Linked DNA regions of Solanum lycopersicum. The protein of the gene in region 1 interacts with the protein of each later gene in a biochemical or structural test. Links are inferred from orthologs where the notes say so. Each region holds a gene or a part of one and is shown on either strand. Other genes may lie near its edges. The genes, in order: flowering time control protein FCA and flowering time control protein FY.

Region 1 (3,828 bases):
CTAGACACTTCCAAAATATCAGCGGGATCTCATTAGGATTGAATGCTTTTCCCCTACACATCCTACAAATACCACCCGTGACCTCCACCACCTCTATACACCTACATTACCCAAAATCGCGACTCCTCTTGGAGTGATCCAGATCCCCCAGCACAATTGTCTTTGCCACCCCCCTAATTCAAGAGTTTATGGGAGTATGACTGTCATCTTTGTCTAATGAGTGTTTCGTCCTCTAGTACTTTGATGTCCATCATCTCTGTCTAATGAGTGTTTCTTCCAGTACTTTGATGTCCTCATCCTTCATGCACTTAACTTGGTCCAGGTCACGTGTCATCTTCTCCCTTGCCTTGGCTAACATGTACAACTTTTTTATCCCCGCCTTTGTCCTATAGTTATATGTGCACATCGAGCCTGAAGAGTATTCTAAGTTGTATTATTCTGTTTGGATGTCTCTTATGTACTTCCTAGATCAAAATGTCTAGCATCATGGTTCTTTTGACTGGAAATCCTGTGTATATAATGTAGCAATTACTTGTAAACATACTTTTGAAAGATACTTTTGGTCCAATGTTTTTCTTTCAATGTATATGTATGAAATTTGTTGACTACAAGGCAGTTGCATATTGCTTGGTCAATGTAATGCAGATCTTTTGTTCAGTTAGGGGAGTTTTGTGACATTCGTCTTAGTATATAATTAACACGCGATAGGTCCTTAATTTTTCTCTGCTTGTTTTTCTGTTTTTAAATATTATTTTTAGTGTATTCATTGTTATCCATATTCATTCAGAACAAGTTGACGAGGCTGGTTTTGCCAAACTTTTTGTTGGATCTGTCCCAAGAACGGCAACTGAAGAAGATGTAAGTCCTTGTTATTCTTTAAACTTGTCATTTGTCTTTTTTTTCCTCCTTGTTATTTGTACTCATAATAGGTGACACTAGTATTTTGTGTTCTGGTTCCTACTATATTTGCTTCCTAGATTTCCTGATCATGCCCTCTCTTCTTTGCCGTATTTTATATCCTTATTGGCATGTACTTAGTTCTCTGTGTCACTATTGATCTTGATATCATGCCAAAGAGGGAAGAATAAACTATATTGCGAACGGACATGTAATATGTTGGTATTCGGATTGATTGATAACTTGCATTTGATGTTGATTTCTCTTAACAGAAAGTAGTTGAGATGAACATTTTCTGAGCGATGGTATGCCACTATGATTTTGCTTGCCTTGACCTGTATGCTCTAGGAAGTTCATTTTCACTGGATATGCTTCCTATTAACTTCTACACTTCAATGCATATTGTTTGCCAAGAATGCTGCCATCCGATCTTCTCTTTTTATTCAAACTGTATCATTTCAAAATGTGTTTGGTATTCTTCCTTATCTCTTAGTCCAATTAGCTGATCGTTCTTGTTTGATGTCAGATCCGACCTTTGTTTGAGGAACAAGGACGAGTACTCGAGGTTGCTTTCATTAAAGATAAGAGAACTGGGCAACAACAAGGTATGTATTGCTAGATTTTTTTTTTAGATTTGCGTTGGATCTACATGTCTCTTTTCAGGACCTTTGAGGGCTGAAGGAGCAGTATAAGATCATGTTTGATGTCAGTTAGTTTTCCACAATTGTCTGGATGCCTGGTATTGATTGCAACTGTCTTTTGGGTTCATCCAGTCAACCAAAGAGAAGACGAGAATAAAACTTGTGAATCAACCTTCCTGTGGAAGTAGACAATATTGAAGAAAAGTCTTGTTTTGTAGAATAAGCGTCAGTTGGAGAAATTAGAGTATGATTATTGTATTAGGTTATGTGAGCGCAACTGTTTTCTGTGTTTACTTTGTGGAATCTCTGGATGTACATCACTTGAAATGATTGACATTTGGATTATTACCTTGTGATGTGCCCAACTTCTATTCCATTGGAGTAGTGATATGATTTACTCAGTTGTTGTAGATGTGGAAATTCATCATGTTGATGCGGGCTTGACTCTATAGTAATCCAATTGTGGATTTCTTTTGTGGATGTAAAGTTGGATCATCAAATAGAAATGGTGTGTCCAGCTGGATGTTTAGCATATCTCTTTAGAAGCGAGGGATGAATTGCAAACTATTTCCTTGGTAAATTGTCGTATTAATTAACAGTCTAATATCATCTACTTTTCATTTTCGGAGAATGATTAACTTATTGAGGCTTTCCTAGATCTCATCTGAAGCTTATCTTATCACAGTGGTTGGTGTATGACAACAAACAACTGAACAAATAAATAGAGTATCTTTTTAATCAGAGTGCTGAGACTGACATGGCTGCTAGATGCTGATTTGAGTTGTTAGTGAAATCATTCTGAAGTGCTATGTGTATTTAGACATTTATTCTTCTCCATTCATCTCCTGTTCAGTTGAATGCGTATGTATGGTCGATTTTGAAGCCACACCCTCCTTTAGTTAATAGTTCCTCGATACGTCCGTATGCTTATCATTTGCAACATACGGTGCATGATGAATGAGTGTGTCTGGTTGGTATTTGGTAGATGCCTGGATGACATGACATTGCCATTTTCTCTTTTTTTTTTTGGTGCAATATCGTGTATTTGAATGTATCCCCAGGATTTTTCAAACATATACCACGATGAATGTGATGTTTAGGATATTAATATTCCATCTTCAATTTATTGCTTGTGCTGATAGGGGCCTTGTGAATTATCTTGCATTATTTACCCCAATACGAGTGAGCTCTTCATTGAATGCTTCTTAATGTTTGTTCGATGATGTTCATGGGTGGATGAGGTTCTTATGATAATGCACTGGAAGGTGTTTTAATTTAATTATTAATTTATGTGATCCTCTTGGCTCTTGGTGTGGTTGATTTTGAGTTTTGGCTTCTGATCAATAACAATTGTCAGAAGTAATGGTAGTTGTTCATTAACAAAGGCATGTGCATCTTATGCCACATTATGTAAATTCTAGATTTTGTTCCATTACAGGATGTGACACTCTTATAGAACAAACAGGGTTGTGACACCCTTGTAGAACAAACAGGGTTGTGCGCACTGCTTTTGCTGTGTAGTGGCATGGTCAATATAATATTTGTGTACATTAATGGATATGGATGTGTAATTTTCTTGATGAAGTTCATCATCAATGCAGGCTGCTTTAACAATTTCCCTCATAAGATATATTAGATTATATATGGTTGGCTTCATTCTTCTGCGGTGGTTGATTGTGTATATTAATTGCGCGTCCCTGTGATGCTTTTCCATTACCAAAACCCATGGGGTGCATAGCAGGTGTGTTTATTGAGCTTCATATGCATCCCATAAAACAACAAATTATTTTGCTCATGACTTTATTGAGCTCTATCAAACAACATATTATTTTGTCTGCAGGGGACCATCATAATAAGTATCTGCTTTATACACATGGTAGGTAGTGAGTGTATGATTTGGACCTTGAGAATTTCTATATTTTAATTTAGCCATATGTCACCATTATGCCACAAAAGGTGGCTAGAGTTAAAAATTTGACTGAGCAGTTGCATGAATGACATGGTTGGTCAACACTGCATGGAATGAAAACAGTTTCACCACTTAAGTTTCTAGGATCTGTAGAAACTGTGTCAGAAAAAGAGTAATAGTGATATGAAAGATGTTTGATGCCTGTCACTGGGCTAAAATCAGGGAAGTACAAGTTTTTTATTCTAAAGGTATTACAGTTAATGTTGTGCTGCTGAGTTAATTCGCTAGTGAGTCAGGTTACTGATTTTCAGTGACGGGGTTCTCACTTTGGTTTCTGTTTTGTGCTTTGCATCTTTAAGTTATTTTGATTGTCTGCTTCTT
Region 2 (4,425 bases), on another chromosome or scaffold:
CTTATTTTGTTTAATTATTCACAAATTTCATTTAATTCTTCATATGTAGCCATAATTTGATACTCTTTCAGCATTATATTGGAGTAAAACGTATTTTACAGTATTTACATAAAATTTCAATCCCATATATATATATATACCCGGTGGTTCACTTGATCATTTGACATGTTATAGTGATTTTGATTGGGCTGATTGCCCTACAACATTAGGACCATCATTTTCATTCAATGCATCGCCTTCTTTACTGGTATCCGCCGACCTTCTTTGATATACACAAGTGTTATGCAATGTCAATTTGGACAAGGTCCTGCTCAATTGGTGATCTGTCCTTCATGTTAGACGATCAACAATATTTACTTTATACTTCTTTTTGTATTTTTGGTCATTCTTCAAACATCAGTCTTTGTCTTTATAGTTGCAAATCATCGAAAATATTATTAGAATAGGACAAAATTAGACATTGAAAACACTAATTATTGCGCTAAATGGAACTTAAATGAGTGCAAATCTACCATACATCAGTTTATAAAAATATAATAGCATTTTCAGGGTTGGGTTTGATTTCCTTCTTGCTTATCGATGATTTTAGGTTGTAAACTATAATTCCTACACATTTATGAGAGGACAATACCCTCACCTGACTGGAAAAAAAAACTAAGAGAAGTTAATACATACCCATTGATGGATAACTTTTGTTGTTTGAAAAACAAGCTCGTTGGTGGAGTGTGAGCGACTAAGTGCTACTAGGAGATTATTAAAAAAAAGTGTGCAGTAGTTAAAACACTGATATAATGTCCTCTGAAGTGAGAAATTTGCTCATCTAGTTATTTTCCAGCAACGTCTTAAGATTTTAGGAGTTGAGACTATTGTCTTTGTTCGTACAGGTTGTAAAATGCTGGTGGGTCACAATGGTAGAAAAAACATGGTGATTTGGGATAAAAGAGGAAGAGCTTTTGATTGTTTAAATGAGATTTAAAGTTAATTGAAATTTAATAGTGAGTGCATACTTTTCGTATAGTTAGTGTACGATTTATATAAAGTTAAACAATATTCAACTTTTTGAATTTATCATAATATATAGTAAGTGTATAACTCATATATAAATAAATTATATGTATATTACGTGTATACTTATATTGTACAGTCAATAAATACTTTCTATGATTTTTGGCTATTTATTTTATATTAATAAAACATGACTATATTCATTGTCAACTAAGAGGGTGTTTGGATTGAATTAAAAGATGGTCAAACCTACTTTTAAATCAATTTTGATTTCTAAAAGTATTTGATAAATTTTAAAATAAGTTTAAAATGACCTAAAATACTTAGGAAGCGTTTGACAAAATTAAAAATAATTTAAAATTAATTTAAAATAATTTAAACTAAGTTAAAACAAAGTAGATCTCCTTATACTTTTTACTTTTTGATCCAAAAGTCATCTAAGTTTGACTTTAAAGTTACTTTCTTTTTAAATTAATCCAAATGGGTTCTAAGTACTTTGCCATATATATTTGAAACTAAGCCATCAGTAATTATTCCCCAAAATCATATTTTCTTTTCATAAAATTAACCTAAAGATCACAAGTATGTTATTAATTCAAGTCTATTATAATAATAATTATTATATTTGATAAATAAAAATTTATTTTTATATTTAATAGTAATATAAAGTCTTAATTATTTATGTGATAGATGTGATTTTTCCATTTTTTACGCAAATAACTTTTAGATTTTCCTCTGTAATTTTTGGTGTTGGGCCTTGAGGATTTCACTTCATTTTCCATTGTCCAAATCTCCATTTACACAAAACATGGACTCCAAATTAAGCCCACACTAAATTACCACCAAACCTGTCCACTGCTACTACACCCTCGCCGTTGCTCTCTCCGGCGAATACATCGCGCTTCCCTCGCCGTTGATATCTCCGGCGAAGATTTTGCCTAGTAAGTTGCTCCGTTTCTTCCCTCTTTCACTAGATACCTCTCTGCATTTCCTTCTTTCTCTAACTCCTGGTTTAAAAACCCTAAACCCTTTTTACTTCTTGCAGCCATCCATTGTAGCACTAGCTAAAGGTCCTTTTTACTGGAGTTCCGAATCTGTGTTGCTGGTTCCTTCACGTTTCTGTAACTGGTACACCAGCTACTTTTTTTTTCCTGTTCATCTCTTATATTTGTGTAGCACTATATTCTAAGAATTTAGGTTGGCATAGTTTTTTAATTCAAATTTCAGTTTGTCATTTTTATGCGATGTGATTGATTCCGGGGTTTCTTTCACGATGTTCTTTTAGTGGGTGGTTCTCAGTCTCTTTATGTGAAGTTCATATTAAAAATTAGAAATTTAGAATGAAAATCCGTGTCTTCTCATTAATATTATCCAGAGTTATATTTTAGATTGCATTACAGTACAGTATGTGTGTTGTTGAAACGATTTTTTTGGGTGCTTTCTTAATTCTTAGCTTCCTCAATTAGATATGGAATGCAATCTCTCTTGTTAGGTATTTTGCATATTGTGATTTGAGCCAATTGGTGTTTGAAGAAAATCAAAGGTTATTGTGTTTGCACTTGTGCCCAATGAATGTAATTATTGATTATTTTTGAAAGATTTACATGTTTGTGTTTAGGTGGTTGTTAACTTCTTCAAATATGTATTGAATATCTATATCAGATACTTGGTCCAATTATTATTGTATATTAACTCAAGGCCATTGTCCTAGAACTCTGAATTTTGGATCCATAAATTTGAATCTTGGATCCGCAACTATGATGGCGAGTGGTGATCCTCATCAGCATCAGCAGCACCAGCACCCACCGCTGCCACAGCAACAATTCCAGCAACAACACCAGCAACAACCCCAGCAACAGCCGCAGCAACAACATCAGCAACAGCCCCAGCAACAACACCAGCAACAGCACCAGCAACTGCACCAGCAACAACACCCTCCACATTTTGGAGAGTTTCCAAGGGGTCCACAACCTCTGCCAGGTCCACCACCCATGATGCGGCAGCCATCTGCATCCTCCACTACTCTTAACTCTCAGCTACCTGGACCTCCTCCTCATCCTTCTTATGACGGTGTGTTACTAATGTTTCATTTACTCTTTTACTTTTATCATTGATTGATATGCTTTTCAGCCGAGCGGGCAGCTGGTTTTCGAATCAAGAATCTAGTTGTTATCAAATTGATTTATTGTAGGAAAAAATACCTAGCTACAACTTTTCGGCTTCTACTTCTTCTCTTTTATTTCTTTGATTTTAGTTATCAAACTGCTGCTGTGTAATTCATTAATCTGAAAAAATATATGGCTAGATACTGAAAATTGGAAATTGACTGTAATTTTAATGGGAAAAAGGGAGAGAGAATTTTAGTAGAAACTAGGTGTCATTTGAACATGCTATTTTGTTTTCTCTGGGAAGGACCTCTTTAGTCGTTATTTCATGGCTCATGTAGTTTCTATTTTGTTGGAGAAGAAAGAAGAGTTTCAACTCACAGATATTCATCTTGAACTCTTATTGCCATTTATCATTTTCATTCATTTTATAAGAGGAAGCATGATGAAAGACGGAATGTTTGAAGCAAAAAGAAGGTTGATTCTCATGACTTCTCTATTTCTTGTCATGAGATACGGCGGCTAGAATAGATCGCCTCTTTCCCGCAAGTTGACTGATAATGAGACTATGAGTGTCTCAGATTGTCAAATTCTCATAGAACCTACCAATTCTTATTGCTTGGGTAGGTTTAGGTCCATAAAGTTAAAGAGAGGATGAAAGTTACCTTGTTCTTAGAGACTTCCATTTGCTTTGATGACACATAATTCACTTCACCTAATTTTTATTTTGTTAAGTATTTACAGGACCTGATTACGATGTCTGCCAAAATCTTATTCTTTTCCTTATATTTGCAGCTCATGCTGACAGTTTTGCTGCAAAGAGAATGAGAAAAATTGGCCAGAGAAGAGCAGTTGACTACACCAGTACAGTTGTAAGATATATGCAGGTAATAACTGTTGAATGTTGGCATTTACCCAGAGAACTAGTTATGCAATGTGTTGCGTAAATGTTCTTCTATATGTTACTTCTATATAGATCAGCAAGGGGCTAGAATCAGTAGCTGTTATCCTGCATCACTAAGAAAATTTACGTCAAGTGTGGGTTCATTTTCCTCTTTTCTTTCTTTCAAAGGGGTTACAACCACAAGCTGTTTTCCCGTTACCATTAGGAAAAACTAGCAAGATTGCTTTCATTCAATATCAACCTATCCCTGCCTAGAAAATGTGTGTACAGTTGGGAATCAATGTGGGAAATAAACAGTAAGGAATAGTTGGTACGTGTTTATTCATCTGCCCCAACATTTTCACCAACATTATGGAAATCCTTTTACAGGGTTTGGTATAATCAAAGATAAAAACCTTCTATGGATAGTTT

What was found.
Region 2: the proteins of flowering time control protein FCA (region 1) and flowering time control protein FY form a complex in vitro, tested with the Arabidopsis thaliana proteins (3 studies listed by BioGRID). The link is inferred for Solanum lycopersicum from reciprocal best matches to the Arabidopsis thaliana genes FCA and FY.

The regions. Positions count from the first base shown.
Region 1 is NC_090800.1:63,230,431-63,234,258, forward strand, and holds part of flowering time control protein FCA, read left to right. Parts: intron 1-787; coding exon 788-858; intron 859-1,423; coding exon 1,424-1,502; intron 1,503-3,828. UniProt on the Arabidopsis thaliana protein: Plays a major role in the promotion of the transition of the vegetative meristem to reproductive development. Plays a role in the regulation of flowering time in the autonomous flowering pathway by decreasing FLOWERING LOCUS C mRNA levels.
Region 2 is NC_090807.1:57,353,908-57,358,332, forward strand, and holds the start of flowering time control protein FY, read left to right. Parts: upstream 1-1,540; 5' UTR 1,541-1,946; intron 1,947-2,050; 5' UTR 2,051-2,133; intron 2,134-2,716; 5' UTR 2,717-2,762; coding exon 2,763-3,075; intron 3,076-3,905; coding exon 3,906-3,997; intron 3,998-4,425.